Linked DNA regions of Caenorhabditis elegans. The protein of the gene in region 1 purifies or fractionates together with the protein of each later gene. This does not show direct contact. Each region holds a gene or a part of one and is shown in the gene's direction. Other genes may lie near its edges.

Region 1 (15,795 bases):
TTTTTTATCTATTTTTTTTATTAATGCTCACGATGCCAATAAACACTTTGATTTTTTTATAATCCAAGAAAATGGGTGAACGGGTCTCCCACTAAGAGTGTTAATTTTTTGATTTTTTTAAACAAAAAATTGAATTTGATTGTTAATTTCTGAACAATTTTATTTTCGATCCAAATAAACGGGTCACGGGTAAAAACATAACTGATTTCAATACTCAAATTCTATTCTCTGAAAGTTTTGCTACTGTAATCGTTTCGGGCTGAGGTTTTCAGCCAGAAGCTTTGTAGAATTTCTTGAAAAACTTCATGTCTCAGAATTTCTTGAACACAATTAATCCGATCCCAAAAACTCTCTCAACAACACCTCAAAATAACTGCCATCTACACTGCCGTCCTTGTTGCTTCAACTCTCGCCTACACTGCAATGGCTTGGATTGGACTCAGCATTGAAACCGCCAACAAGGATCTCATCTGAAGTGGCACCCACCATAGCATATAGAACATAATCATCGTAAAGAATAAAAGTTTTGTATGTGAAAAAAACAAATTCGATTTCGTGGATTTGCTACAGATTTTTGAATGATTTTCTGAAAAATTGTTTCAATTTTTGGAAAAAAAAACCTGAGTTCTGGAGAACTGCCAAAACGTTCCTTAAAATTGCAATTCAAATTTCTTGCAAATTTTTTCAACCTGGGAATTCTCGAAAAAAAAACTCAAAAAATCAGAAAATGGACCCGGGCATTTTGACGCTTGTGTCTCAAAACGGGTGGTTTGGTTTAACTCCAAAGACAGAGACTGCACTAAAAGAGAAGATACCCATATGGAATGACGTAGAAATCTTCCCCGTAAAAACTCCTCCCATCAACCGCGCCTTGGTTCCGAAAAAGTTGCGGTTGGTGGGCGGAGTTTCCCGAGGAAGCACATCTTTGCGTCTTCCCTTGTGGCATATTCCCCCTAGGATATCTTCTTTCTTGGACCTGTCTCAAAAAAATTAGCCGCATTACGCGATATTATCAAAACTAGGTCATTAAGTTGAGCGGAAATTGATAAATTATTTATCCCTTTTCAATGTTTTGCAGAATTGCATAACATCAAAAGAAAAATGTGTTCCATAAATTTTTTACAGTTCTATTCTACTATTACGAAGGTGGAGTAGCGACAGTAGGGAAATTGCTTTAAAACACGCATTTGGAGCCACAATCAATGACTAAATGACAAAATAAAAACAGGTAGCTTTCTTAAGTTAGTAATTTAAAAAAATAAAATTTGAAAGCACTGGTCGTAAAAGCAAGAGGGTTCAAATTGAAATGGGCAAAAATGATATTTTTCCAACTTTCAAATTAAAATTTAAAATGTAGAAATAACTATAGAAATTGTTACTGTGGGCATTGTAGCACGAAATTCGTGCGCGAAATTCGTACTCAAATATCTCCCTAAAAGTCTCGTCATTTAGTGCCTCCTTCCTCCCACTTTTTGCCGGAAGGAGACAAATGGCGATAACTAGGCTGCAAAAAGGTGATAGAAAGGTGGCAAAAAGATGGGAGTAAAGTGACAAAAAGGTGGATGGAAGGTAGGAAGCCCAAAAAACAGTGCATCCGCCCTTTTAGATCTTCCCTAAGTCTCAGGATTTACATTAACATTAAAATGTGTGTGAGGTCATGCTTTTCAAAATAACACTTAACGGAATTGTGGACTGACTAGGGAAAGGTCTGAAGGTGCCAGCGGCTTTTTGAACGAAACCTGTTTCATTCGAAAGTCCTTGTTTAGACTTACAGCAAGAGTAAAATAGACTAGAAATAACATATTTTCCTTAAAACCATCACCACAGCCCTCACCGACACCCCAAAATTGCGCCGAGAGTGCGCCGAGAGTACTGCTGTGAGCATCTTTCAGATCTGAAATTTCGCAGCTAAAAATTCACATTTCACCGTTTCTAAAAATGGGCTTTCAAATGAAACATGTTTCGTCCAAAAAGCCGCTGGCACCTTCAGACCCTTCCCTAGTGAGAGGCCTCAGGGCCTCAGGTCCTCAGGATTCAGGGACTAAACAGAAGAGTTCTACAGAATTTCGAACTCGAGACTCCTACGTTTTATATCATCATGCACGGAAAACGCCTCCGGGATTTGAGACTGCTCGATCGTGTAAACTCTTCTCATAATGCTAGAAATTTTCAGAAGTTTTCAGTCAGTTTTTACCTTCCCAATCAAAACATGATTTCAAAATAGACAATTTTTCGAACTTTTTCAATGCTTTTAACCGGTTGCATTCATAAATATCAATCACTTCTTTTCAAAAATTAAAAATAATAACGTGGCCTGAGTATTTGTAAAAGGGGGGAGGGGAGGAATTAAAAATTAAAATTTTATTCCCTACACCCGTCACACCAACTGTGGTTTTACAAGGATGCGCTTTGGTAAGATTGTTGTAATAGCAGAGGAGGCAAAGGTGACTAAAGTGGTCATCCGGTTCAGTCCATACATATGAAAGAAAATACATGTAGGCATGCGAAAGGCAAGCAGGTAACCACATAGAAGTGTAGATAGGCCAGCAGGCATCTAATTATGTGTGTATACGTAATGAGAATATTTTAGGCTTGTGCGCACAAGCCTCTCTGCCAATCTACATTCTCGTATCATGACTTCTGCCTACACGTGCTCTTCACTTTTTTTACAATTTCGTGCCAATTAAAAGTTTCAACTCTTCTGAATAATTTGATAAACAGCACGTCTGGCGTACAATTCAATTCGTCAAAACTATCACAGAGTGCTTTTCCTGCGTGGCCTAGAAAAAGCCAGAACTCGGCCAACTAGAGCTCGGCCAATCTTTAATTTTTACCCTATTCTTTCTGAAACTTTTTTTGTCGGAAATGATATTATGAAAGATTTCTATCGTTCTCAAAAGGTTGTATTCGAAAAATGTTATTTAATCTTTTTTTGAAAGAATGGCCTGGTTTTCTATCTTTGCAGCCACTTACCATTAGTAAATACCGCGATGGGCTCTACAGGGTGGTCCATAATTATGGCGACCTGCTACATGCGCGCAAGAACTTGATTTATGGGTTTACCCTGTTACGAAAAATTTAAAATTTGATCAATTCTAGAAGATCACAGTATTTTCTGTCGTTTTCGTCAATTTCCATACAACATCCTTCAACTTTGAAGGTAATGAGGACCTCACAACATCGGTAGTCTATAATTTTTCTCCATTTTAGAGGATTTCTAGCGCCCGACGTTTCTTGCTGCGCTCACGGGATCAAGTAACTAGTTTCTATGTTTTAAATAATTATCCAGACTTTGGACACTCGAAATAGCAAAATCAAAGTCAATAGACATATTTTGAGCCAATTTATGCTTGGATTTATGTAGCTTTTTGCCCGTTAAAAACAGTGCAAACAGTCCGTTGCGAAAAATTTGCCCAAAAATTCTGTATTCTGTGGAATATTTCGAAATATTGAAAACCAAATTGTCATTTTAAGTTAAGACACATTTAAACTGAACACATTAGCATTTTCAACATGAAGGATGGTTGGCTGGTAAGGAAGAAAATTTACAAAACTTGGGGGAGCTTACTTTTTTTGACTTCATCAACTTTCACAAGATGCCATTTCCGGCACCGGACACCAATCTCAAAAATTATTTGTGAAAAACTTTGTTGTATTAACGGTATTCTTAATATATAATCAAAATAATAAATCACTCAATGTATCTCATTTAAAAATTACCAATAAGCTAAATTGAGCCCACTTGCGCGCCACGGCCGTGTGGATTTTTGAGTGTCTTGAGTTCTGTGCTGCCGTAGGTGGTGATAAGTGTCAAGTTTTATATGTCGTTGTGTTTGATTTTTTCTGACCAATAAAATGTGTATATTCACTAGTCTTGCTCGCTGTCCAAAAAAAAGATACTGTGCCCTAAAGTGGTCGCCATAATTATGGACCACCCTGTACAGAAAACGCGCTAATTAAGCTTTGAAACAAGTAAACTGTTTATCTTCCTATTTTTGTTTTGAAATGAAATGAAATCAGTTTTCGTTTTTTTAATTGTATTGGTTTTTATGTTACAGATTTCCAAAACTTAAAATTTTCGATGATTTTCATATTTTTGTGGAACATCATAGTCGGATTTTTACTTGCTCTTGTAAAGATTTTCAGTTGAGTTGATTTTTTAATATACACCAATTGCAATATTATTCACTTTCAGAAATCTACATGTATCTTGATCTGCCTGAAAATGTATGGGTAAATCGGTTTGCGCATGTTATTGCTCTTATTGGATCAATTGCTTCATTGTGGTTAATTTTTTTTAGCCCATTTGGTGAGTTTCATAAATGTTACAAAAATGGGTGGAAATGGCTTAATCATGCTGCATTAAACAACAAAATTCAACAAAAAATCAGTTTGAAACGTAGATGAAAAGAGCTCCAACATACAAATGGGCGCCAACTCTTGCTATGCATTAGATAAGAGAGACTCTGATACTAATTTTTCACTGGGCGTGAAAAACGCGAAGGATAACTGTTTGTCGTCTGCGTCTCTTCGTTCACACGCTATTTTCTTCGAGAGAACTACGCGAACCGTGGACGAAGAATCCTCCTCTTCCACCGCTTTCAAGGCCGTTTTGCTCACTTTTCTAACGTTTTCTCGTCCGCGAGAAAACAGCAATTTTGAGACAGCCAGCGGGCCCGTGTCCCGTGTTTTTCCGTCTTTTGCGGGTAGCCACAGCTGATTTGCCGTTTGTAAAATACTTATGGTCACCAATATTTCAGATGTATTTTGAAAATCGCGCATTTCGCTGCGGGATCACTAACATTTTAGGAGTATTTTGTTTACTCTCGTTGGTCGCACTTTGCTGAATATTTGCGATTTTGAAATTATTTTACTATATCGCTGGTGCCTTTTGTAGAAGTGCGCGAACTACATTTTATAAGTATTTTAAAAACCGCAAAACATCTGTGAGTTATGCTATATGACCGGCAACGACCTCCGACGAGGTTCGCGGCTCTCTCACAACCACTCAGTTATTTTTGAAAGTAAGAGTCCAATAGTTCGTAGATCTGCATTTGCTAATTAAAAAAAGGAAAACCTCAAAACACTCAATGTTTTTTTAGAAATTAAGCAAGGAAGATTTTCTGTCTCGTCAAAAACTATCCTGCTTCTTGTTTGCAAGGGTTTGATTGGCTTGATATTTCTTGCACAGATTTTCGCCCATGTCCTTTACATTGACCCATGCCAGAATAGTAAGTAAACAAAACCGCACAACAAGAATGTGTATCTCATATTGTCGAGAAAAAATGATCGCAATATTTTTGCAATGCTTTATTTTGATCTACCTGGTCAAAAAAGACTCCGCTTCCCAAACTTTCTAAAAATGTTTTTCTCTAAGATACTGTTTTGTTCGATAAAGAGAAAGGAGGAGTCCAGTGCACCGGGTAGATCAAAAATAAATTTTTCGAAAGCTTTGCGATCGTATTTTTCCGATAATAGCTAAACTACTTTTATTTACAGTGCTCTTATCATTGAACTCTGCACTGTTCTCCTTGCTGCTGAATTATTATGAGTCTCGTGGTGCGATCCATCCGTTGATGGAATTAGTTCAAACAGCTGGCCTGAGACCAACTTTGTGCGCTGCTGTACGATTTAATTGTCTCAACTCAACTGCTCATATTGATCCAAGTGTTGAAAATCCATGAAATTGATCGATGTGTAGAAGGCTGCCAAATAAGATATAGAAAATTTTTGATTTGGTATTATGAATAAAGTTTATTTGATTAGTATTATCTCGAAAGCATTCGTTTTGAGGTGCGTTTTGTAAGATTTTCGTTTTGGTTACAATTTGATTGGATGTGAAATTTACCGTATTTCTTCTATTAATATGGCTGCAATACTATTTTTCGATGGTCTTCCCGCTTGCAATACTAATAGGGAGTGCAAGACTATTAGGGAGTGCAATACTAATTTTCAGAACATTTTCTGACTTTGAGCTTACAAGTTTTTTTCCTGAAAAAAACTCGAATCTTATGTGAAAATTCAGAAAATTTGATTGTAATTGCAACAAAAAGGTACAATAACTTCAATTTCATAGAAATTTTACCAAAATTGTTGCAAAGTAGGCAAAAAATGTTGTTAAAATCTCAAAATTAGTGAGGTGGGTTTGTACCAAAAAAAAAAAAATGTAGATGCAAGACTATTAGGGAGTGCAACACTAATAGGGAGTGCAATACTAATTTTCGGAGGGTATTCAAGGTGCAATACTAATAGGGAGGCCATACTAATAGAAGAAATACGGTACACAGCATTCTAAATAATACGCAAAACTGCGAAACTTTAATTAGCAGTAAATTTACGCCATATTGCCCAAGATTTTTCACTCTAAAAAAACAGCAATGGACCACATATTTGTCGGCAATTAACCTGAATTTGCCGGCAACTGGCGGTAGTAGTTAAAAGAGTCACTGCCACAAATTGACTGAAACTGGAAGCCGCTCCTTTCTTTAAAGTCCTGTACAAATTAAAAATGAAGGAAAACTTGGGATTTTTGAAGCTTCACTTCAAGTATTCATATCTCACCGAACAAATTATTTCATAAACAAGTATTATTTAACTGCAAAGTTGTAGACTTCGAAAAAAATAGGCTTTTTTTTGTCGAAAAAAAAAACTTTTTTGACCGAAAAATTGGCTCCCACTGGATTGACAAAATTTCAGATTTTTTCAACAAAATAAAAATATCTAACAAGCTTCCACATTGTTCGTTAGATTCTAAAACCCCCAAAACAATTTCTAATCGCTCAGAACCAGTTCCTTGACCTGGAATTCAGCGAAAAATGCACTGGAACACTTTCAGCTGCCAATTTCAGGGGTTCAGAGTTGAGTTCCGCCAATTTTTGTGGTGATCTAGTCTAAAGATTTCAAATGGCATACGCTTCGATTTAAAGTCCGGGACCAGGTTGACCAACTTTCCTGTTGTGGTTTTCTTAGCCTAAAAAATAGTATTGAAATAAACATTCGCGTGTGAAAATGAATTCTAGTTTCGCTTCGCTCTCCGAGAATTAGATTTCCCTGATCTAGCTCCGCTCTAAAATGTTAATTCGAATTATTATTTATTGTTTGGGATTTAGTGTGGTATAGGGTCATCTTAAGTCGAGCCGATCTCTGAGATCCTTTTTTCCAGATGCTTAGGGGGCAATTTTCAAAAGCAGAGAAACCTCGGCTGAAATTTTTTCGGATTTTTTTCTACTGCCATGTAAAGCTGGAATTTCGTTTGAAAATCAAATGATTGCGAAATCCACAAAGGCGAGAAGAAAATTCAGCACACCAACTCACTCACCGCAACCAAATCAAATCAAGTTGGTTGCCCAGGGCAACGTCTCGTGGCAGGGTAACTTGGCTCGGCGAGCCCAGCGCGTGTGTGATTATGATGATGAGCACGGTGATTCTTTGCCATGCAGAATCTGTAAATTTGGATACGATTCGAGCTTCCGATGCAAATATTATTAGATACAGTGTTGGTGTGAAAATGACCGAGTTGAAAGGTTTGCTCAATTTTTTTTTTTTTTCTTAAAATTTTTTTTTTTCGAATTTTTTCCAATTCACAAAAATATTGAGAAATTTTTCCTGTATTTTTTAATAATATTATTATTTCAAGAGTAAATTAAAATTTATCAAATTTTCGAGAATGACGTACTTCTCTCGGACAATTTTTCATTTTTTTTTTAAATTTTAATAGGGTTTTCTCTAATGGTTCTTTCATTAAAATATTATTTGAAATTATTTGTAGGAAATAATTTTTCGTAAAAAACTTTTCGAATTTTTTAAACATTTTTTCCATTTATCTTTGATTTTTTTTTCCTATAGTAATTCCTATAGTTATTATTTTTCACTTCAATTTTTTTTAAATTGAAAATAATTTTTTTCGAAAAATCCACAACATTTTCCATGAATATTCCAATTTCCAGACATGCTAAAACAATACACTGCTGGCCGAATTCGGAACCTCGGCCTCCATATCCAAACCCGCGACACGAAACTTCGAATATTAGAGGATATGGAAGTAACGAAAGAATCCCTTGAAAACGCCGGCTCATTCGTCTCCCAATTTTTTCGATGGCTCATTTCAGAAGTATTGATCGAGGGGGCGTTTATCGATTTTTTGCTGACCACGCCCATCGAAAACGCGTCGCAAATTTGTTTGGCAGTGCAGAGTGTTAGCAAGAAAAAGGTTGGTTACGGTACACGGGGATTTTTGCGCGTAAAATATGGCGCCTTGAACGACAAATTTGTCAATTTTTTTTTCGCTTAAGCCTAGCTTAAGCCTGAACCTAAGCCTAAGTCTAAGCCTAAAACTGAGCGCAATCTCTTAAAATTTTGGTTCGAAGACATGGTGCATCGAAGAGTTTTTGGAAAAAGTGAGAAAAATTGATTTTGTTTCAGATTTCCGTGCGTTTGGTAAGCAGATTTTTGTCGTCCGAGCTGGCTCCCCATAACAGGTTAGTAAGGAGCTTTCGTGGCCTAAAAAACCAAATCCTAGGCCATGTCGAAAGTTGAGATTTCTCATGGCCGCGGGCTTTTTTCCTGAAAAGAAACTAAGCCACCAATTATTTTTCTCGGTTTTTTAACATAAAATATGCAACAAAAAAACGGTCTAGAATTTGGAAGCATGGCCTAGAAAATCAACTTCTAGACCACTTGGAAATTAGGGGGATCGAGCACAGGCCCATTTTTAATAAGTGATTAAAAAAAAGAAAACTAGGCCACCAATGCTTTTCTCGGCCACAAATTGCGATTTTCAAAGAGTGGAAGAGTTTTTTATATCTATAGCCTAAAAAAAAATCAAAACCTCGGCCACGAGCAGCCCAGCAACAAAGCTGTGAGCTCGTGGAAGAGTTTTTTTCATTCTGTGGCCTAGAAAATCCTAAGGGATCATGTTCATCACAAACAGCAGGGTCTAAGAAAAGCAAAACGTTTTTCCTGTGGCCTAGAAAATTAACTCCTAGGCCACGTAAAAATTAGGGGGATCGAGCACAGGTCCACTTTCAATTAGTGACAAAAAAAATGGGCCAAGGTATTTTCTGAAAGTTTGTGGAAAACTAGGCCATCAATTGTTTTTCTCGGCCACCAAATGTGATTCTCAAAGAGTGGAAGAGTTTTTTATGGATGTGGCCTAAAAAATTAAAACCTCGGCCACTTGGAAAATACGGTAGCTGTTGTCAACGTGGAAGAGTTTTTTTTCACTCTGTGGCCTAGAAAATAAACTCCTAGGCCACGTTGAAATTGTGATTTATGCCCCCTTATAAATTTAGCAATAAATCCCCCGTGGCGAGTTCCCATTTGCTTCTTAGCAACCAAAAATATACAGCTTCTTCTTCATCTTCATTTTCATTTCTTCTTGCTCTTTTTCTCTCTGAGCTTTTTCTCTCTAATGAGCACATTTTCCAAATGAATGCCTTCACCTGACAAAATCGTAACCAGTGATTATCTTTTGGTTTTCAGTAGTGGGTGACAACAAAAATCACATTCTATTTTTTTTCTTCATTTTTCAACACGGGCTCTTTTCGGTGGCAAATAAATGACGTCACACATTCCAAAAATCATCGATTTTTTTTTCAGAAGAATCGTCGAGATTTATATCAATAATGAGATAATGATAACAAACCCGAATCCGAGAGCCACATCGGCACAAAATCGATATGAACGTATTCGGACTGTTGGAAAAGGTGAGCGCAGTGGCCTAGGATTTTTCTAGGCCATCCAAGATTTCCAGGTGCCTTCGGGTCCGCCGTGCTCTACCGCCGAAGAGAAGACAGTTCGTTGGTGATTATAAAAGAAATCAATATGTACGATTTGGATAGTTCACAGAGGAGATTAGCGCTGAATGAGGTAGGTTACTCACGTGGTGTCAGGCTGTCTCATTTCATTTTGATCTACAAAAAATGCGGGAATATTTTTCCATAAAAATTGTGACGTCAGCACGCTCTTAACCAGGCGAAATAAGATGAGAAGTCTGCGTCTCTTCTCTCGCGATTTTTTGAAGATCAAATCTTAATAAGACATTCTGACTCCCCGTGGTTACTATGTGGCCGAGGAATTGAGAAAACTCGGTCACCAGTTTTTTGCGTCCACCTGGAATATTTTGAGGTGACCAAACTACTAAATCAATTTTTCACCTGTTTTTTTTTGTTTTTTTTTCGTATTTTGGCCACAGAATTTTAATTAACATTTCGCAATGAATTACTTTTAAACGACTGGTCGAGAAAAAAAATTCAAGAAAATCAAAAAAGTTTAATAAAAAACGATTGTCTACCGCAAATTTTGTAATTTTACAAAAATCGATAATTTTTTATCTTTGACGAAACTGAATATTTTAGACAAAAGTTATTAAGATAACACAAAAATCTGAGAATGCGTATTACACAACATATTTGACGAGCAAAATATCTCGTACCGAAAACTACAGTAATTCTTTAAATGACTACAGTAAGTAGTCAAAAAGTCCCATTTCGTTTTGATCTTCGAAAAATGCGGGAGTTGAGACGCAGACATCTCATCTGATTTCGCATGGTTAAGAGCGTGCTGAAGTCACAACTTTTCTGGAAAAATATTCCCGCATTTTTTGTAGATCAAATTGTAATGAGACAGCCTGACACCACGTGTAACGCTTGTGTCGATTTACGGGCTCGATTTTCGAAATTGATTTTCGAAATATCGATCGAATAAAATTAGGCAAAACATAAGAAAATAATACGAAGAAACGATTTTTTTTTCATTTCCGAAATCGAAATCCCGTAAATCGACACAAGCGCTACAGTAGTCATTCAAAGAATTATTGTAATTTTCGCTACGAGATATTTTGCGCGTCAAATATGTTGTGCAAGACGCATTCTCAGAATTTTGTGTTCCCGTAATAATGTAATTTTTGTAAAATCAATAATTCTTCAAAAAGTAAATATTACAAAACTCGATAAAATTTTTACAAAATCAATATTTTCGTGAAGTCAAAAATGAACCAGAAAATCGATAATAGACCTCAAAAATCAATAACTTATTGAAGGAACATCTCAATACAAAAATAATTTTTTGGCTTTTTAATTATAAAAAAATTTGAAGGTTTCACTGTTATCACGTATCGAGCACCCCAATATAATTGCATACTATGATTCATTTGAAGAAGAAGGTGTTTTAATGATTGAAATGGAATATGCTGATGGTGGAACACTTGCTCAAATGTTATCAAGAACACAGAATTTGTTGGATGAAGAGCAAATTGGCGATATGATGATTCAAATGTGCTCGGCGGTGGCCTACTTGCATGAGAATAGTGTTTTGCACAGGTAAGTGTGCATTTGGTTTTTTGCCCTAATTGTAAATGATAGAATACAGTCCCTGTATATTAAATATAACTGTAAAAAAATTTATAAAATTTTTCTAAATATTTTATGATTTTTTTAAACTATGCGAAAAAAAGTAAACAGGGCCGAATTATTTCGAAAATTTTTGACATTTTTGCGTTTTCCGGCTGTTTATAATTGGGTTTTTTTTTAATTTTTAATTTGAAACATAAGTTGTCCATTTTTCAGGCATTTTTCAAAAAATAAAACGTTCAAATTGGCCTTAAATCGATAATTCAATGCTAATTTCAACAGGAAAACACAAAAATGTTGAAAATTACGTCACCCATTTTCGCGGGAATTCAAAAATAATTCAGCTCTTTTTTTTCAGAATTAAAAAAATCATTAGAAATTTAGAACATTTTTTGAAATTTTTTAACGGTTATTTTTGGTATTTTGGGACTGTATTCTATCAGTTCGGGCAAAAAACAAGTTTTTGACAAAAAAAGTTTGAAGTTTCAAGAGTAAAAATTTTTTTTTGGAAATTTTTTTTTAGAAAATATTTAAATTTTAAACTTCCTGGGTAACATTTAAAATTCAAAACTTGCTCGTGAAATATGACTAGTGAGGTTCACCGAGACATCAATGCATCATATTTTACGCGCAAAAATCGATATCGTACATTTTGTTTTACAAAATGTATAATAGCTGAAACACCAAATTTCATCGTTATTAAATAAAAAAATTTCATAAAAACTGGAACCTGAAAATTCCGATTTTTGCGCGTAAGCTATGGTGCATTAGGTTTGTGAGGTTCACCGACGCAAGCGTGCCATATTTTACGCGCAATTTTTTTTACCAATTTCAAGTAACATGGTGCATCGATAAATTTTTTTAAAAAATATTAAACAAGAAATAATTTACAGAGACCTAAAAACTGCCAACGTCTTCCTAACTCGAGACTCATTTGTAAAAATCGGCGACTTTGGAATCTCCAAAATAATGGGCACTGAAACATTGGCTCAAGGAGCAAAAACAGTTGTCGGAACACCGTATTACATAAGTCCAGAGATGTGTTCAGGTGTCTCTTATAATGAGAAAAGTGATATGTGGGCTCTTGGATGTATTCTTTATGAAATGTGTTGTTTGAAGAAAGCGTTTGAAGGTGACAATCTTCCCGCGTTGGTCAATAGTATTATGACGGTAAGTGTCTCTAAAAATGACCGATTTTCGTTATCGAAAACTTTCATCGTTTGAAAGATTTAAAATCGATAATATTTCTAAAAATCGATAATGGAACTGTAAACCAATAACTTCTTGAAAAATCAATAATTATTAGTTTCAGAAAATTGATACTTTTTAATCGATAATCATAGGATTTTAAATCCGCCGGCACAATGTTCACATGCCTGCGATGGCGGCAGTGCGAGCCGCCATGCGCCGCCGCCAGCGACGGCGCAATTCATTGACGGCCACCTGGTCATAGATGTAACTAAAATATTACCACATTTAATCAGACTGCAAAAGCAACATGCTCCGCCGGCGGCGCTCCGCAACCCATTCTGCGTCGCCGTCGGCGGTAGCGCAACTCAAAAATAGTTGGTCGTTTTAAAAAGCAATAATATTTTCTGAAACGTCGATGACAGGCCTAAAAATCGATAATTTCCCCGAAAATCGATGATTCTAGAAAAGTGAGCATCAACCTAAAAAAACTGGTTTCAGTGTGCCTACACACCAGTAAAAGGACCTTACTCGGCTGAAATGAAAATGGTGATACGGGAATTGCTACAGTTGGATCCGCAAAAGAGGCCCTCCGCTCCGCAGGCGCTAAAGGTAAATGTAGAGAAAATCAATACAATAATAGCGAAAAAAATTTCCAAAAATCGATAGTTTCCTTGTGAAAAATTAAAAATGTTGGAAAAAAATCTCGAAAAATTGATTCTTTTCCGAAAAATCAATAACATTTCTGAAAAATCGATAATTTTCGGAAAAATCAATAACATTTCAAAAAAATCGAAAATTTTCCGAAAATCGGTAACATTTCTGAAATTGATAAAATTTCGAAAAATCTTTAACGCTCCTAAAAATTAATACGTTTCCGAAAAATCGATAATTTTTTAAAGAAAAAATCGAATCTGAAAAATCAATAACGTTCCTGATAAATTTATATTTTTCCGAAAAATCAATAACGTTCCGGAAAAACGATAAAATCTCGAAAAATCAATATCGTTCTCGAAAAAATCGATAATATTACGAAAATCAATAAAATTTCAAAAAAATAGGTAATTTTCAGAAAAATGAATAACATTCCTTAAAAGTCAATATTTTTCCGAAAAATCAATAACCCTTCTGAAAAATCGATAATTTTCAGTAAAAAATTGAAGACATTTCTGAAAAATCGATACATTTTCCAAAAATCAATAACGTTCTTAAAAAATCGATAATTTTCAAAAAATCAATATTTTTCAGATGCTGCGACCTTCGGAAAACCGTCACCGACACACCTCCGGATCAATGAGATCTTCGGTTTCGTTCACAACTCTCTACGATTTGCATGTCCCGACAATCACCCTGTCCTCAATTCCAGACCTTCCCAGCCGGATATCGATTAAGCAGGTACCTTTCCGTGTACATCACATTTGACAAAATTTTCAAAATGTTCTTCAGGTCGCTCTGAGCAAAACTCATACAATGGTGCTCACAAATGATAATGAACTTTTCGGATTTGGTGATAACTCTTGTGGACAACTGGGATTCGGGAAGTTTTCGAAAATGTAAGCCCGGGCGATACTGCAAGTGCGCTCTATTGACAATCGACATATTTTCAGGGAAAACGGGCGGTTGGTGGAGAGTTTGAAGGGCAGAGATATACAATCAGTTGGGGTTGGGAATTATTTTAGGTAAAATTTTTGTTTTTTAAATTATTGATTTTTCTAAAAAATTATTAATTTTTCTAGGACATTATTGATTTGTCTAGGTCATTATTGATTTTTCTAGAACATTATTGATTTTTCTAGGACATTATTGATTTTTAGGACATTATTGATTTTCCTATAACACTATTGATTTTTCTAAAAAATTATTAATTTTTCTAGGACATTATTGATTTGTCTAGGTCATTATTGATTTTTCTACGACATTATTAATTTTTTTTGGCCATTATTGATTTTTCTAGAACAATATTGATTTTTCTAGGTCATTATTGATTTGTCTAGGTCATTATTGATTTTTCTACGACATTATTGATTTTTCTAGAACAATATTGATTTTTCTAGAACATTATTGATTTTTCTAGGACTTTATTGATTTTTCAGTGTAATCTGCTGTGATCGGGGGACCTTATTGACATTTGGTACTGCAAAGAACCTCGGTTTGGGGAAAGATGCAAAAGATTCAGCGAAGCCGATGCTCCTCGAGCAACTTTTGAGGTATTTATTTGGCTTCCACTACACGAATTATTGATTTTTGAAAAAATTGATTTTGGTCAGTATTATCGATTTTTGAAGTGTGAAAACAGAGCGCGCAGTCTTCTCGAAAGAAAATTAGGCTGAGGCGTAGGCTTATGCTTAGGCTTAGGCTTAGGCTTAGGCTTGGCGTCAGTGGGGGAGCGTTAGCTATTTAGGGTTAGGATTACAGCGTTTTTTTTTCATTTTTCAAAGGGTTCCCGTTGGCCGATCAAAGCGAAATTTAACACAGAGACGTATAGGCCACTAAGAAGCTTCCGTGTAAAATTTCAAAATGATTCCATCAAAACTCGCCGAGTTATGGAGCTTAAGGTGTTTTCAAAATGACCCTCAACTATTTTTTAAAATTTGAAAGTTTGGCGTTTTGTCAGTTTTCTCCCTAAGCTCACGAAAATTTAATGACAGGAGGACGGCAGTGAAATAAGTTTTCTTGTGAATTTTGAGCCAATTTCGATCTACAGGAGCCGAGATATTAAGCTTCAAAATCCGACAAAAGTTCGAGTCCGGGTGCGGGCGTCTAAATTTTTTTATGCCCTGTTTTTTGTTCACTTTGAAAACGCGCGTGTAACTTGACGGTGGGTGGATGGATTTTGATGCGGTTTTTTGCTGTCTCTTCAAGAAGCTTGCCCCACCTCTGTATGCTTTATTTCAGAAAGATTGGAGCTCTTTGAGCCGAGATATGAAGAGTATTTTCGAGTATCCTCCAAAAATCACGTTTTTTTTCTCATTTTTTGCCTCTTTTTTTTGCAGGAAAATTCGAGTTTTTGCGATTTTTACGAGATTTTTTAGCAGTTTATAGTACTCGACGAGATGCGTCGAAAAACATACAAATCATCCAGATCCATCAGCTATGAGCTCTTTTAGAGAGCTCCAAAGTCAAATTCGCAATTCGGTGTGTTTTTATCGTGTTTTTTCGCAAACCACCGCTTCGTGCGCTGTTGTCTTTGAGAAATCTTTGGTTCCAAAATGAAATTGTTGTATAAAAAGATCGTAGGTACATTTTAAAGTAAAAATTA
Region 2 (16,177 bases), on another chromosome or scaffold:
AAAAATGACGGCCAGCGCTAAGAAAGTTAGTTCATATTTATAAAAGCTAAATTTTCTGAGAATTTGAATACATATTGGTATCTGACAGTTGCCTTAATTAATGTATTTAATCTGTTAATCTAATAAGGAACTAATTTTTCTACTTTTTTCAGAGACGAAATGCGAAAAGGAGAGCGGGATGATGACTCGAGCACTGTGGCGGTGATTCGTGGAGCTGGAAAGAAATCTAAGAAAACGGCGAGCAAGGGGCCAAAGAAGGAGCTCAAAAATCCGAAGAAAAAGCCAAAGAAGAATCTGAAAAACAAAAAATCGAGAAATTCCGAGTCAGAAATGTCGGATTCCGGAAAAACGACGGACTGTGAAATGGAGATCAGCGACGCAGATGATTATCCACCAGTGAAGAGATATCCAAATCGTCGTCGATCACCACCACCACCTCCACCATCCGGTAGAGCTATCAGTGCTTATTAGAAAGGTATATATCAGATTTTTTTATTGATAATGTTTTAGTGATCTTTTAATCTAGTTCTACATTTCAAACTATTTTAAAATTGGACTAACGTGAATAATCTCGAATTCAGAAAATCCAGAAAAGAATGAAAAAAAAAAGCAAAATCAATTTTTTTTTTTCTAAATTCCTTCAAAATGAGAGCTCTCCGACCAATCAGCACTCTCGAACTCCGCCCACTCCATCTGATTGGTTGAAAATTGGGCGGAGCGAATTGCTAATTGGTCACGGTTCTTATTTCGGAGGGAATTTAGCTAAAATTGAATTTGTTTTTTTATTTTGGATCATTCTTTTCTATATTTTTCGTCCAATTTTAGACAATTTTGAGAGTTTTAAAGTAAAATCCTTTTTTAGTCTAAACCAGCATTCAACACATTTTTAATTCCAAAATGAAAATTTCCAGAAGACTGCCCATTCCGAATTCCTGTGCCATGTTCTTCGTCAATTCTGGTCTTCCCACGTGAATTTGTCAATTCTTCAAGTCAATGTTTGCAGCTGACATCTTACGAACTTGATTCAGACATTTTTATGTATGTATTATTATTTTTCGAAATTTAATTGTTAAAGGTCAACGACACATACTGACTTTCGCGAGATTCCATCAAGTTCAATTGGAAAAAAAAACTTTTGCGAAAAAAACCATGAAAAGGCAGTTTTCCGAACGATATTTTTTGTCTGAAACTCAAAAAACGATCATTTTCCTGAGAAATTCAAAAATTATGAACTTTCGTTTTATTTTTCAACAAATTTATGATTTTTTTTTTCATTAAATAACACAGCCTTTTGGACATTATTTCTGAAAAAAAAACCATTTTCTCATATTATCACAACGCAGGAAATTTCGTATTTTGAAATGGTTTTCATGTCGATAAAAATTGCACTTTTTCTAAAATTTCGAGTGTGATTTCTTGGGAAAAAAAAATCAAATTTATGAATTTTCGAGTATATTCTGAATTTTTCGCTTTTTCTATTAAAAAATCCAAAAATTGCCACGTAGAAAACGTCAATGCAGTCTCGTTGTGCTTAAATTAATCCCATTTTCCCCTTACAAAACAGTTCATTTATCCCAGTTACCTCTCTGCGTTTTTTAGTATTTTTTCCCCATTTCCCCATGCTTAAATTAATCTCATTTTACACATTTTTCCCCTATCAGCAGTTCTTTTTATCTCATTTTCCTCCCCTTTCTGCGTTTCTCTTAATCTGTTTTATGAACATTACTTAACAATTGCCACGAATAGCATACATTTATTTTTTGTCACAAATAATATTCCGGGTTTATTGCATTTTTTCCACAATACTAACCATATCTGTTATATAGTTGTTCGCATTATCCTCAACCTCATACACTTGCCGTTTTCCCTCATTTTTCTGTGAAAGTTTTTATTGTTTTTTATTGTGTGTGTGTGTTTTTTTTTATTATATTTCAATTGTGAATAATTTTGATTCGAGGATTTTTCGTTAGTAATAACTTTTGATTTTTTTAAATTTGTAATGGTCTAACTTTGAGAATTCATCTAATGGTCTAACTTTGAGAATTCATCTAATGGTCTAACTTTGGAAATTCATCTAATGGTCTAACTTTGAAAATTTATCTAATGGTCTAACTTTGAGAATTCATCTAATGGTCTAACTTTGGAAATTCATCTAATGGTCTAACTTTGAAAATTTATCTAATGGTCTAACTTTGGAAATTTATCTAATGGTCTAACTTTGGAAATTCATCTAATGGTCTAACTTTGGAAATTCATCTAATGGTCTAACTTTGGAAATTCATCTAATGGTCTAACTTTGAGAATTCATCTAATGGTCTAACTTTGAGAATTCATCTAATGGTCTAACTTTGGAAATTCATCTAATGGTCTAATTTTGGAAATTCATCTAATGGTCTAACTTTGAGAATTCATCTAATGGTCTAACTTTGGAAATTCATCTAATGGTCTAACTTTGAAAATTTATCTAATGGTCTAACTTTGAGAATTCATCTAATGGTCTAACTTTGGAAATTCATCTAATGGTCTAACTTTGGGAATTTATCTAATGGTCTAACTTTGGAAATTTATCTAATGGTCTAACTTTGGAAATTCATCTAATGGTCTAACTTTGGAAATTCATCTAATGGTCTAACTTTGGAAATTCATCTAATGGTCTAACTTTGGGAATTCATCTAATGGTCTAACTTTGGGAATTCATCTAATGGTCTAACTGATCAGAGCAGAGTGAATGAAACTTGCAGATGAGAAAAATTCGTGGAAAAATTTTTTGAAAACTTACCTGAAGCATGTGAAGGCTAATTCGCTACTTGGTTCCACCAGGTTAAAAAACGTCATATTAATTTATTCATACATATATCATATCTACCCAAAACCTTTGCATTGTTTACTCAATATTCGAGGTAATCAAATTTAAAATTACTTCCTTTTCCACAGACTACGAAAATACGAAAAATAACAACTTTAGTATGCCCAGGTATGAATTTAGTAACCTTTCTTTTTCAAGTTTTCATTTTGAGAAATTATATATTTTTATTCATCTTGTTTCGAAATTTTGGTTCATTTTTGCACGTCAATTTTTGGATTTTGAACCGATTCTAACTCGTAGATTCTATGAAGAAATAGAAAACCAGTGACTCATTTTGTGAGCAAACATTACGTTTTACACACGCTTTGTTAGAAGCAGATGACAAAAATAGTGGTTGCAATTGTCAAAAAATAGATGTGGTTTTTAAATTCTTTTTTTTTCAATTTCTAATACTTTATCTTCGCTTAATTTTTTATACTAGAATTTTCTCGTTTTTCAAAAATTTCCAAAAATACTTTAGCACGAAATAGACAAAAAAAACTAACTTTTGCCTCAAATTGAGTATGTTCCGCTTCACATGTTTCGTTCTAAACAATTAAAAAAGATGGAAATTGTGCTCTGGCACCCGGTGGCTCCGGCACTTCTCTTTCCAACATTTTTATTTTCTTTTTCTCAACCACACTCACAAATAAAAAAAAAACAGAAGAATATCTTCAGTTGTTTGTTGCAATTGAAAAATCAACTATTTTTCCTTCTCGTTTTCTCTACCTTTCATATTTCTCTCCAGCTCTTTTGTGCTCTCAAAAGTGTGAACAAGTTCTATTCACACTATTTATTTTCTTCATGTGCTTGTTCACATTTTATTAGAAACTACCTGATATTTGTAGTTTTGTATGATTTAGTAAATAGAAACATTGTGACCAAGCACAAAATATTCACCATGTTTCCATTTTCACAATTGCTCTACTTCTAAGTATTATTAATATATATGGAACATTTTGATCAAGAACGTAATCTTCTATATCGATACTTTAATTAATCGTGCAGTTATATCCTGTTCTCTGATAAGATGTGGTGTTTTGTTTCTTTGTTATCTCCCGAAAGCTGGCTTTTAATGTAGCGATGAAAAATGGTTGAAAATTTTGGTCATGCCAAGGAATAAACTGAAATAATTTTTCCAGTGAGTTATGTGCCATTTTCTGATTACTCAAAGTGACCAAAAACAATTTTTTAAATTAAAATATTAAAAATAAATATAATGGTTTTCTATGAAAAATGAATTTTAGCGGGTTCAAATTTCTCGCTATTTCTAGATTGGGTTCCCATAACTCTTCTTTAATTCTTATTTTTCATTTTGGTTACACGCAAATTTGAAATTGCTCCAATCTTTGGCACACTAATTAATAAGGTCTAAAAAATGGAGGGTGTCCATTTCACATAAATTCCTGTTCCTACTTGAATTGGCGAGAAATTTTTTTTTTCATAAAACATCCAGACACAATTAGTCTGATCAGTTTTTATCTGTATAAAAGATCAGCATCAAAACTGTATTTATTGATCCTTTCAAACAGACTAGATTGAGAAAAAGCTTTGAAATATATTGATTTTATTGGAAAACGTATGGTCTTAGTTTTGAGTAAATAAAACAAACTGCTCGTTTATTCCTGATTACATACTTGATATATGTACTTCAGTTTCAAAAAATATTTTTATTATTTAAATACGTTAATAATCAAGCATTCCTACAAGTAACTAGATTTATCGGCTGAGGAAATGCTTCAATTTGAGTCATCCACATTCCAACATAATTGCCCTCTTCTTCGCACGATATTGAGTAAGAATCAGTTCCTCCATCATTCCCTTCAACTTCAGTACCTGATTGATCGAAATATGCAATAGTTCCGGAAGGACATTGGAGCGTTGTTCTGAAAATTTTCTAAATTGAAATTTTGATTTGAAACATCTAACTAACTGGCAAGCAGTAGACCCGTAATCATTTATTCCAATTGTATAAGTCACTGGAATATCTTCTCCAATAGCACACCAATTTGTCGGACTGGGGACACCATATCCCATGCAACCAGTATTGTAGATTGGTGTGCAAGCAGAGCACGCTTAAAGTTTGATTTATTTAGAAAATTGAAAACCTTGAACTCACGATAAGGGACTGTTGTTGTGGTTGGATCTTCGGTAGTCGTTGTAGTTGTAGTGGTAATTGCTATTTTGGAAAATTATCTATACTCTTTCATAGTCAGTATGCTTGTACAACAACTCACGTTCAACTTCCTGAGTGGGAATACATCCGTTCATTATAGGCATCAATGAGAATAAGAGTAGAAACATAATATTGTCTGATCAAACTGTGACATGCTTCAGATCACTTTTATATCTTCCTTGCATATCTGTTCGCAACGCAATATTTCTTGTTCCGATTCGAAAAAACGTTCTTCATCCTTTGTTGGAGGAGACATTGCAATAAGTATCAAATTTTTATATTAGTCACGTGTAACATGCTTGAAGCTCAAAATTCGACTTTTTGTTTGAGCAGAAATATAGTATTTTCACTATAAGTCTTGCGTCCTTACGATCCAACCAAAAATTAGTTTTGCATCCTTTTTGCACTGGCATATTGCCAGCAACCTTACTTTTTGAAAATGTTAGTCGATTCAAAATATGGATAGAGTTTAATTAACTTACACCTGCATAAAGCGCCGATGAAATTAAGGAAACAAATTTTGATCAAGCGTCGGACAGGTGAAGCAGCAACAAGCTTTTTGCGCACCAAATGATATCCTGTTCTTTCGATTCATAACAAGCAATGATGTTTAGTGTCTTTGAATTTTTGCAGTTCAAAAAAGTGCGGTCTAGTTCCAAGTGAACATAATAGACATCAATATCAATATTTATTATATCTTGTATAATTTTAGAAATATTGAACCATAACATCTTGAAACTTTCATAAAGTACCATCAATATTTGTGCACTTCTACATGTTTCTGCATGTTGCTTGAGTAATTGGAGTAGGTATCCCACCAATTACTAACCGCCATATTCCAATATAAAAACCACCCGATTCTTCGCAGCTGACTGTGTATGAATCAGTGCCTCCGTTGCTTCCTTGCATTTCGGTTCCTGCTACAAAATAAGCAAATGTTCCAGTTGGGCATTGTAATGTCGTTCTAAAATATAAAGCAGTGTTCACTAGGGCATTGTGAAACATTTATGATAACTCACTCGCAACTAATAAGTCCTGCACCATCATCTACAAGTGAATAAGTAACGGGAATATCATCTCCAATAACACACCAATCTGTGGGACTTGGCATTCCAACTCCCATGCATCCAGTATTGTAAATTGGAGCACACATTGTGCAGGCTAGAAAGTGATTTAGGGTAGTTTAATTATACTCACAGTGATCTCACATCATCAATTATCATACACTCCAACAAATTTCGAATTTTTAAAATTTAGAAGCTTTTCATGAAACGCTTACGGTTCGGAGCTAATGTTAGAGTTGTTGTAGTTGCTTCCGTCGTTGTAGTTGTAGTAGTTGTGGTGGTTGTAGAAGATGTCGTTGTAGTAGTGCTGACTGGGTCAATAGCTGAAATTAAAGCAAGTTGTGCCACAAATTTTTTACTATGCAACATTCTTTCTAGGCATTCCAGTGTTCTTATATAAAAGGTTTCTAAATAATTTTCTCAATAACTTTACGATACAAGATTCAAAAAAATATTTAGCTAATACATTTATTTTCCATCAATTAAAAAATACTGCGAAGAACTTACGTTCAACTTCTTGAGTTGGGATACATGTAATAGCGACTTTAACAATAGAGAATAAAAGGAAGGCGATCATGTTGTCCCTGTAATGTCCTCAGACTACAATTCATTTTATATCGGTCTAGTGTTATGCAACATCGCTTCAATATCCTGTTTCAATGTGCGAATGATACCGATTTCTGTATTCGTGGATGATCTCAAATCGTAGAAGGTATGGATTTGGGTTTATTACGGGTTTCCTACATACCCAAAGATCAAATCAGACTTTTTTAAATCGAATTACGCCACTAGGTACTCCATGGGTTGCCTCTGGAAAACAAAATATCTAACAATGACTATCACTTTATTAGGATCTGTAGTATGGCCACAACCAACATGTTAAGGTCTTACCTAGGTGTATGTGTTCAATATAAATTCTGAACTGATAAACGAACAGCTGTTTACATGTTTCTTTGCCCACGTTTTTTGTTTCCACCAACCAACTTTTCATCTTCTTCTTATCATCTTCGCGTTTCATATCATACTCAATGCAAGGCATTTTTCCGTTTTCCTCTTCAAAATTCTAAAAAAATCAACATGGCATTGTTTTTCCCGCACGAATTAAGGCCTGCCACTTATTTAGTTGTAGCCAGTAATTTTCGTTTAAAATCATTTATTTCTCTGCATCAAATATCACCACATTCACACGAAGAACAATCAATATAATGTGGTTTTACAATGGTTCTGGCTCATGTAAACAAGCGCCTCAGAGATTAAAAGAACGGGCGCCGGAGAGATGGCGCAGAGAAGTAAAGTAAAAATGCATGTGGAGAGACATAACTGGTGTAGGAGAGGCACAAGACAAAGATAGAGTGCGCGAATGACCCCGTCTCCGCTATTAGTTGCTTCCGCGTGGGATTTTCTCACATTATATGAAAGATTTTTGCCGTTTATCTTTTTTTATCATTTGAATCGTCAAGAATAAAAACCACACAAAAAACCTCTTGTATCAGGTTTTTTGAAAAATTGTGAATTTCGATTTAAATTTTCTGAAGTCCCCGAAATGGGAGAAAACTGCAAAGAACAATTTTAAAAATCAATTTCGAGGAAATTTCGTGGTATTTTTCTCGAAAAAAAATCGACTTTATTCTTAAATATGATTTATTGCAATTTTGATGTCTTTTTTATTGCATTTTTTGCTTTTTTTCAAAATTGAAACAACAACGAATAAATTCCATCGAAAACACATTTTTGTTTCTCTACAAAAGGCGCCGATGGTCTCGCAACGAACCAGAAAAATTTTTTGGCAATGTGCATGCGCCTTTAAAATAGTACGGTAGACTACTTTTTGGAATCTTTCGAAAAAATTTAATTGTTTATTTTATTTTGTTTCAAGGAGTGTTTTTCTTTCACATTTTCAAACATATTACTGATAAAAATATAAAACTACAAAAATTGAACCTTTTTCAAGATGAATCACAGTATTTTCTTCATTTCCTATTACCAATTTGCCATTTCACAGCCAACTTTCTCTTTTTTTCCACACTTCTACAGTTTGTTCAGTGATTCATCACATTTTTCATGTTTCGCACTTGTAAAGATTACGAAACCAAGAAATATTAACTCTGAGAAACTTGCTTTTTATTCTTTCAGGGAGAAAACCCGCACTCCGGTCTGATTTTGACCATTCAAAGTCAAGACAGAAATATGGAGAGCGAAGATGAAGAGTCGCGGAGGCCTCAGACAACATCAAGTGGTCATCTGGAACCGAAAGATACAACTGAAAATAATTCAGGTTAGTTTTTCCGTGAAAATCAGAAATCACAAGGAATTCATAAATACATTTTGCACTTTTCCTTCTCTTTTCAAAAAGTTTCTTCTTGAACACACCAAAGTCAACAACATTTTCCAATTTCTTTTTCATTTTCAGTCGACTCATCTGTAATGCATGACCGTGGTATACCAGGACTCCTGCCAGCAACAAAAGCTTCAGATAAACAAAAGAAAGCTGTAATTCGGTTCCGAGAACACGAGGGAAGAGCAGACAGTCCGCCAAGCAACCTTAATGTCCGACGAGACAGCAAAACAGTTCACATTGATGAGGTAAGTGCAACTTTTCTTTTTTAACTCTAGATATTTATCTTTCAGGTATCCTCTCCACAGTCCTTGGATTATGGTGATAGTGATGATAGTTCTGATGACGATGAGATCCAATATTGTGACTGTGTTGCTGCTGCTTTACAGCAATCTCTTCCCGGAACACCTGGAAGAAAAGGTATTATTACTTTAAAAATTACTCATATTAAACGTGTTTGGTTAAGGAATCATTCCCTACATGTCAATTTATGATACTCAACAGCAAGCTCGTCGTCGAGGATATTGGATACCAGGAGTTCCGGTTAACGCGAAAATTGTAAAAGTCGAGAGAAATACGGATCGGGGAATTCACTTTATTAATACACTTCTGTGAGTTAGAGAATTTTGAAGTAAAATTGAAAAATCAACATTTTTCAGCTACACAATCGAGCTGGAACATGGACAATTTCGTTGGAGCGTCATCAGAAACTACAAAGATTTCACACTTCTCAACAATCGTCTCATGGCACATCGTGCTCGTGAACAATTTATGGCACCAATTAAAAGGTATTAATTGCCACTTTTTATTTTAATTTTCTCATTTTACACCTTTTATAATAAGTTTGAAGCTTTTTTTCTTGCAATTCACCCCATCGCTAACCTAAGACTAACCCCCATTCAGATTTCGTGGTAAAGTTCAGGATGAGTAAGTTTCTACACGCTGTTGTGCTTGTTTTGTTTATTTTTAGACTTGAATGGCTTGTTTTTGGACTGTTTTGTATGAAATTATAACTGCAAATTAATGTATTTTGCTATTTTTATTTATTTTCAGAACACAAGAGCGATTCGATAATTATTTGGAGCATATGGGTATTGATATTATTTCTGATCACAAGCCAGAGTGTCCATACTCAAATCAAAGCTCTAAACGGAAGAGACATCCGAAGGTATCTTTAAGAGTTTTTTATCTTATAAAGAAGTTTAAATATTTACAGCTGCAAGTTCTGAAGCGTGATTCGGATGGAATTGAAGAATCAAAGAATACATCTGCTCCACTAGCATCAGTTGAATCACCTGGAGAAGTAGAAGATGCATTCAAAAAGGAAGTTCACATGCAGCAAGCTGTACAATCTGGAATTCTCGATGAAACTGTCAATGAGGCTAATACATCCGAAGGAACACCTAAACGGCAGCGACGTCAACAGAGAAAGAAGGATCGGCACACTCTTCCACGTTTCCCAATGATGCCTGATTCGATGGTAACAAATTTGGAGCATCGTAAAGAGCTTCTCGAGAACTGGCTCCAAATGGTTCTTCACATTCCGATCAACAGAAATCATCACGAAACTGCTGAATTTTTGGAGGTTTCGAGATATTCATTTGTCAATGAGCTTGGTGGAAAACATACGGAAGGATTTGTCAAGAAACGTCCTGGAGGTTCGAGAGTGTTCCTTGGATGGAAGCAATGTTGTGTACGATATCTTCTACCGTGGAGTAAAAGGTTATTAAAAGTTTTGGTCAAAATTTTTCGATTTTTTCAGTAATAATCCAAAAATTCGAAAAATCTGAAAATCGACACCTTTTATCGTTTTTATCGAAATAAAATTAATAAAAACAATTTCAGATGGCTTATGGTTCGTGATTCATTTGTTGCATATATGGATCATCGAACTGAGCAGATTCGGATGGTATTGCTAATGGATCGTGATTTCAAAGTTGCAGCTGGAGGAAAAGAAACAGAAGGAATTCCGACAGGACTCATTATTACAAATAGTCAACAGTGAGATTATAATTCAGGAAAAATCAATAAAATCAAAATATAATTTTTCAGTGAGCTTCATCTAAAATGCCGCCGTCTTCAGGACACTGCCACGTGGAAATACATTATTGAGCAGGCTATGGGTGGAATCGGAAATACTTGGCTTCAACCACACAGATTCAGTTCCTCATTTCCAGTACGTGAGAACTGCCACGCGAAATGGTTTGTTGATGCGAAAACATACATGGAATATGCGGCTGATATGATGGAACTGGCTCGGGAAGAAATTTACATTACCGATTGGTGGCTCAGTCCAGAGATTTACATGAAACGGCCAGCTCTCGAAGGAAACTATTGGCGTTTGGATGAAATTTTGAAGAGAAAAGCTGAGCAAGGTGTGAAGATTTTCATATTGTTGTATAAAGAAATGGAAATGGCACTTGGTCTCAATAGTATTTACTCAAAACGGACACTTCAAGGACTTCATGAAAATATTAAAGTAATGAGGCATCCTGATCATTATCCATCAACTGGAACATTCTTCTGGGCTCACCACGAAAAACTTCTGATAATTGATCAATTGATCTCTTTTGTTGGAGGAGTTGATCTTTGCTTTGGACGATGGGATGATCATCGACATTTGCTGACTGATCTTGGATCCGTACAATATTCTGGTGCACATCAAGTTGCTACAAATATGGCCAGTGGATTGAGAAGCTTGATGACAGCTCCGTTAACGCTTTCTCCTTTGGGTCTTGAGGAACATGAGAAAGTGACGCCGAGAAACGAGAATGGAGGTAAAAATGGATCAGTAAAGCGTGTCGCTGTTGAGGAAATAAATGAAGTTGACGAGCCAAAAGAAGTTACTGGAAGAACACAAGAAACCGAATTGACCGATAATGAAGATATCTCTGAAGATTCTGATGTTAAAAAGATTATGGAAGAGACAATATTCACTGATAAAGAAACTGGTGGAGTCGTTGTCCGAACACTTAACCGATTCCCTGTGGATGAAGCTATACGTCATTCTAGTCCTGCTGATCCACAAAAGAACTGGAAAGAAACTAAAACAACTGTTGTAGAATCAACATCAACTTCTGGTGGAGTAACTTCTAAAACTACAACGACGACTACTACAACTAGAGTAGTAAAGGATAATACTCTCGAAAAGGAGAAGAATAAGAAAGAACTTCGTCGAGCTGTCACTTCATTGGAACGTCAGCGGAAGCATGTCCCACGTGAGATTCTGGACAAAGCTGGCCCTGCTCCGTCAATGATTGAGAAGGCTGCAAAGAGTGGAATGGATTTTGCATCGGCAGCCGAGAAATATAAGGAATACGTGGCAAGTGGAGCTGTTCAGAAGGAGAAACATCGAGCCCAGACCCCTCCGAATCGTCGAAAAGCCAAGAAAGATTCGAGAATAACTCGTGCTGTGGGTGCTGTGGGCAATTGGAAGAGCAACAGAGCCAAGAGAAAGTGGAAGCAAATGCTTGAAAGTGATGAAGCCACAATGGGATATGAGTTGGATTGGTTGCGACTTCGTGAAATGGACGAAAAAGGTGATGGAGATGATGAAATTGATGGAGGTGCAAAGTTATGGTATGGAAAGGATTATGTCAATTATATCGCGAAAGATTTCGTCGAAGTTGATATGCCATTCCATGGTAGGTCACTTTCTCTCAATTAAATTTCGATGATTAATAATATAAAATTTCAGATTTTATTGATCGTGGATCTACTCCAAGAATGCCATGGCATGACATCCATTCTGTAACTTTTGGTGCTCCAGCTCGTGATCTTGCTCGTCATTTTATTCAACGATGGAATGCTACAAAGACGGAGAAGCTGAAGGTAATTATCATCAGCAGTTAAATTTTCAACAAAAAAAAATCGAGAAAAAAGTTTTTTAAGTTTTCAAAATATTTTTAATTAAGTTTTTCTGGCAAAAATGTATTTTTCAAACATGTGAGCAAAACACACCGAAAATTCTGTAGTACTGAAAATTCATGAATATTTAAATTTTACATTTTTCCCGAAAAATTTTTTAAAAAATGCATTTTAAAATACTTATATATATATTTTTTTTTTGTTTCTCAAAATAGCTTTCCAATATTACAAAATGTTCGTTTTCTTTTTTTTCTCGTTTTTGTCGTGTATTATTTGCAAAAAAAAACTTTTCGTTCTCAAAAAAAAAATTCGGAGTACGGTAGTTTTCGAAACAGATCAGTTTCAGGCATTTTTTATCTTTGTTTTTTAATCTTTCTGTAATATTCAATATATAATACAACAAATTCCAATTTTAGTGGAAACGTTTCAAAATTTATTTTTAAACATTCGCAAAATTTATCATTTTCTCAATTTTTTAACCTTTTCTCTGGTGTGAATATTTCAAATTTTATCATGAAAAGTGTGTATTTTATTCAAATTTTAAAAAATATATAATGGATCCAGTTCTCCCAATTAATTATTTTTTTTCCAGGATGACAAGAATTATCCGTATCTCTTACCAAAAAGCTACGAGAATGTTCGTGTTCCACGTGTCTTCAAAACAGCGAATGCATCTGAAATGGTCAATGTACAAGTTCTCCGTTCCTTGTCTAACTGGTCAGGATTGATAAATCAAACTGAAGATTCGATTCAAATGGCATATCTTTCACTCATCGCCAACTCGAAGGTTTCATTTTTTCAGACATTTTTAGAAAAAATTAAAATTTATTCAGCACTACATCTACATTGAAAATCAATTTTTCGTTTCTATGATTGAATCAAATGATGTCACGAATGAAGTTTGCAAAGTTATTTATAATCGTATCGTCAGAGCTTACAAGTGAGTTTTATTTATTTTTTAAATTATAAATCAATTAAATTGATTTTCAGAGAAAAAGACAATTATCGTGTCTACATCATGATTCCACTTCTACCTGGATTCGAAGGAGACGTCGGTGCTCCTGGTGGATCTTCTCTTCAAGCAGTTCTTCATTGGACATATCAATCATTGAGTCAGGGACCGAATTCTTTGATTCAAAGATTGAAAGCTGTGATGCCTGATCCATTTAAATATATTCATGTAGGATCACTCAGAACCTATGATCAACTTGGACAGAAATTGGTGAGTTTCGTTGTATCATAGACATTTTTACTTTTCCCTTATCACTGGCCATTCTAAATATTTGGAAATTTTATTTGCATTGCATGCCCATTCACAAACAAACACACGTCTTTCATGTCATAAAATAAGCTTTTTCTCTATTTCTCCCACTCTCTCTTCACTTTATTCCTCATTTATACTATTTTTCAGGTATCTGAGCTCGTCTACATTCATTGTAAATTGCTCATCGTCGATGATGAGCATGTTATCATTGGATCAGCAAATATTAATGATAGATCACAGGTAATTTATAATTTATTTTAAATTTTAAACCGAAAAAGAAAAACAAGAAATTTGGATAAATTACTTTCTGAAGAAGCAAATGTAGACTGCGTAAAGTATTCCTGGAAGCCAGAAGAGCAGGCAAAATATAATATCAATGAGCACATTGATATCGCATTCTTTTGTGTGCCACCAGATTGCTAATGGCTGGAAATGAAAATATTTTAAGATCCCATTTTGAAAGAGAGGCTCAAATCAAAACTTACCGGGAGGAAAATGCAAAGAATGACCTCAATAATAACATCAGCATCTGTAGCCATCGTTCAAAAGTTCAAGCAAATATGAAAAAGTATCAAAACTCACTTCCTCTCATGTGTTTATATACGAGCCTCCTTGCCGAAAACTAAAAATTCTTCACGCCCGCCCATCCGCTTATCATCATAACTAAGGAATAGTGAAGTGATTCATGTGACATTTTTGCACTAAATGTGTGCTTAACTCGAAAAGAATGAGCAAAAAAAAAGGAAGAGAGTGAAATCAATGAAACAATAAATTGATTTTTCAGTGTGGAAATCGTGACTCTGAAGTATGCTGTGTGTACACTGACGTCGTCAAAGAACGTTCGGTTATGGATGGAAAACCATTCGAGGCTGGACGATTTGCAAAGAGCCTACGGATGCAATGCATGAGGGTACGGTAGTAGCTGTGCGGCAAATATTTTCGACAAATGCACAAAAGTGTCAATTTTAGTGTGATATTCCAACTTTTTGGATTTGAAATTGATATAAAAATGCACAAAAGTGTTTTTTGATCTAATAATATGTTTTCTTGAATAGTGCCTTTACCAACAATAGCGAATATTGTGATCAAACCATCATTTTTCTACATTTCTTTAATATTTCCTAATATATGTAAAAATTAGAATTAGCATACCGAAATCAACAATTTTTAACATTATCACCGTACATACCTGCTACGGTAGAAATCAGCAGTTCCACTCAATTTGCTTTTTTTTCAGGAACATCTTGGCCTACTTCCCGACTCCCGCCGGAAAGCGAAATTCCCGTATGCAGTGTCATGCGATGATCCTGTCGCCGATAGTTTCTTTGTTGATGTATGGCAATCAACTGCCAAGAGTAATGGTCAGATTTATGAAGAGGTTGGTTATATAAGTACATTGCAAATTTTGCGCCAGAATTACGGTACCAGGTCTCGGCACGGCAATTGTTCAATGCAAACGGGTATGCGCCTTTAAGGAGTACTGTAACTTCAAACAATCGTTACTGTGGAATTTTTATCGACTTTTCATAGTTTTTCATTAAAAATTAGTTTATTGAAAAATTGAACTAAAACAATTAAAAGCATATATATTTTTACAAATTATGAGAAAAACTATAAATAATCAAGGTAATTTTCGTAACAACAGAAGTCTGTAACTACAGTATCTTTTAAAGACGCGCATCCTTTTGCAAAATTTCGCTTCTCTGTATTAAAAGAGAATTCAAGTTCGAATAGTCAATATTTAATTTTCAGGTTTTCCGCTCCTACCCCACCGATTTCGTGGAAACTTTTGAAGAGTTCCAAAAATGGACATCACAGATTCCAATGTCCGAATATTCTCCACAACAAGCTGAGGAAAGAGTTCGAGATCTAAAAGGTTTGTACTTTGGAGTGTCTAGTTTAGCGTTGATGATAACTCCTCTTATCACTTGAGACATTTACAACTTTTGGCCTTTCAATTTACGAGAGAAAATGTGAAAATGTCACTGATGTCATTTCCTCGAATCGTTTCCGAAAAAAACCATTTTTTTGCAGGTGTCCTCGTCGATTTCCCACTCAACTTCCTTTGCAAAGCAGTTCTGACTCCAGGAATAACATCAAAAGAGGGACTTGTTCCAAGTGCTGTATTCACATAATTTTAATCATCAATTAATCAGATTTTCTGCCAGTTTTTTTTTGCTCTTTGCCAATGTGATTCTTTCAGAGTTTTCAGCTATTTTTTTGTGTGTAACTGCCGGTTTTCTTTTTTGTTAATGGCAGCTAAAGCCCCTGCTCCGCCAATTTGCCTGTGAAATACCCCCTAATAGTTCAATTGTCACTAATTCAGTGGAGATAACAAACCAGTAATTTTATAGTAAATTTCAGAGTTACTCTGAATAATATTGCTTGTATACCAAAAAAGACGAACCGAACTCCTCAATGCCAAATTTTTTAATTCTTATTTAGCTCATTTTCTCTATAAATAATGATTTTTCAAATTAATCATACAAGAATAAACATTTATTTTTATTTTTCTTCGTTATAACTGCATCCATAAAATCGTTGGTTTCGAGAAACTATCTGAGTCTTATTACCCAGATACGAAATTTTGCAGCTTTCGCCCAGAAATTACAGTATCCGGTCTCGA

What was found.
Region 2: the proteins of nekl-1 (region 1) and pld-1 fractionate together in Caenorhabditis elegans (co-fractionation; one large-scale study listed by BioGRID). This does not show direct contact.

What each region holds. Positions count from the first base shown.
Region 1 is NC_003279.8:2,350,472-2,366,266, forward strand, and holds the start of nekl-1 (non-specific serine/threonine protein kinase), read left to right. Parts: upstream 1-7,411; coding exon 7,412-7,523; intron 7,524-7,945; exon of another isoform or gene 7,946-7,946; coding exon 7,947-8,209; intron 8,210-8,421; coding exon 8,422-8,477; intron 8,478-9,597; coding exon 9,598-9,704; intron 9,705-9,751; coding exon 9,752-9,867; intron 9,868-11,094; coding exon 11,095-11,318; intron 11,319-12,241; coding exon 12,242-12,518; intron 12,519-13,037; coding exon 13,038-13,148; intron 13,149-13,784; coding exon 13,785-13,931; intron 13,932-13,982; coding exon 13,983-14,089; intron 14,090-14,143; coding exon 14,144-14,215; intron 14,216-14,629; coding exon 14,630-14,743; intron 14,744-15,795. Other genes in the region: peel-1 (uncharacterized protein), read left to right, coding at 2,403-2,412, 4,059-4,145, 4,196-4,309, 5,103-5,231, 5,500-5,684.
Region 2 is NC_003280.10:5,083,732-5,099,908, reverse strand, and holds pld-1 (Phospholipase), read left to right. Parts: upstream 1-8,218; 5' UTR 8,219-8,272; coding exon 8,273-8,360; intron 8,361-8,495; coding exon 8,496-8,668; exon of another isoform or gene 8,669-8,713; coding exon 8,714-8,840; intron 8,841-8,886; coding exon 8,887-9,031; intron 9,032-9,079; coding exon 9,080-9,208; intron 9,209-9,473; coding exon 9,474-9,588; intron 9,589-9,636; coding exon 9,637-10,142; intron 10,143-10,265; coding exon 10,266-10,421; intron 10,422-10,472; coding exon 10,473-12,064; intron 12,065-12,117; coding exon 12,118-12,251; intron 12,252-12,879; coding exon 12,880-13,074; intron 13,075-13,120; coding exon 13,121-13,227; intron 13,228-13,277; coding exon 13,278-13,509; intron 13,510-13,698; coding exon 13,699-13,791; exon of another isoform or gene 13,792-13,851; coding exon of another isoform or gene 13,852-13,977; intron 13,978-14,036; coding exon of another isoform or gene 14,037-14,090; exon of another isoform or gene 14,091-14,124; intron 14,125-14,335; coding exon 14,336-14,461; intron 14,462-14,788; coding exon 14,789-14,929; intron 14,930-15,303; coding exon 15,304-15,427; and 4 more. Other genes in the region: C04G6.6 (uncharacterized protein), read left to right, coding at 160-471; C04G6.13 (C6 domain-containing protein), read right to left, coding at 4,539-4,731, 4,779-4,920, 4,965-5,024, 5,083-5,149; C04G6.2 (DUF281 domain-containing protein), read right to left, coding at 5,793-5,985, 6,041-6,182, 6,301-6,408, 6,593-6,662; UPF0057 membrane protein txt-9, read right to left, coding at 13,852-13,977, 14,037-14,090.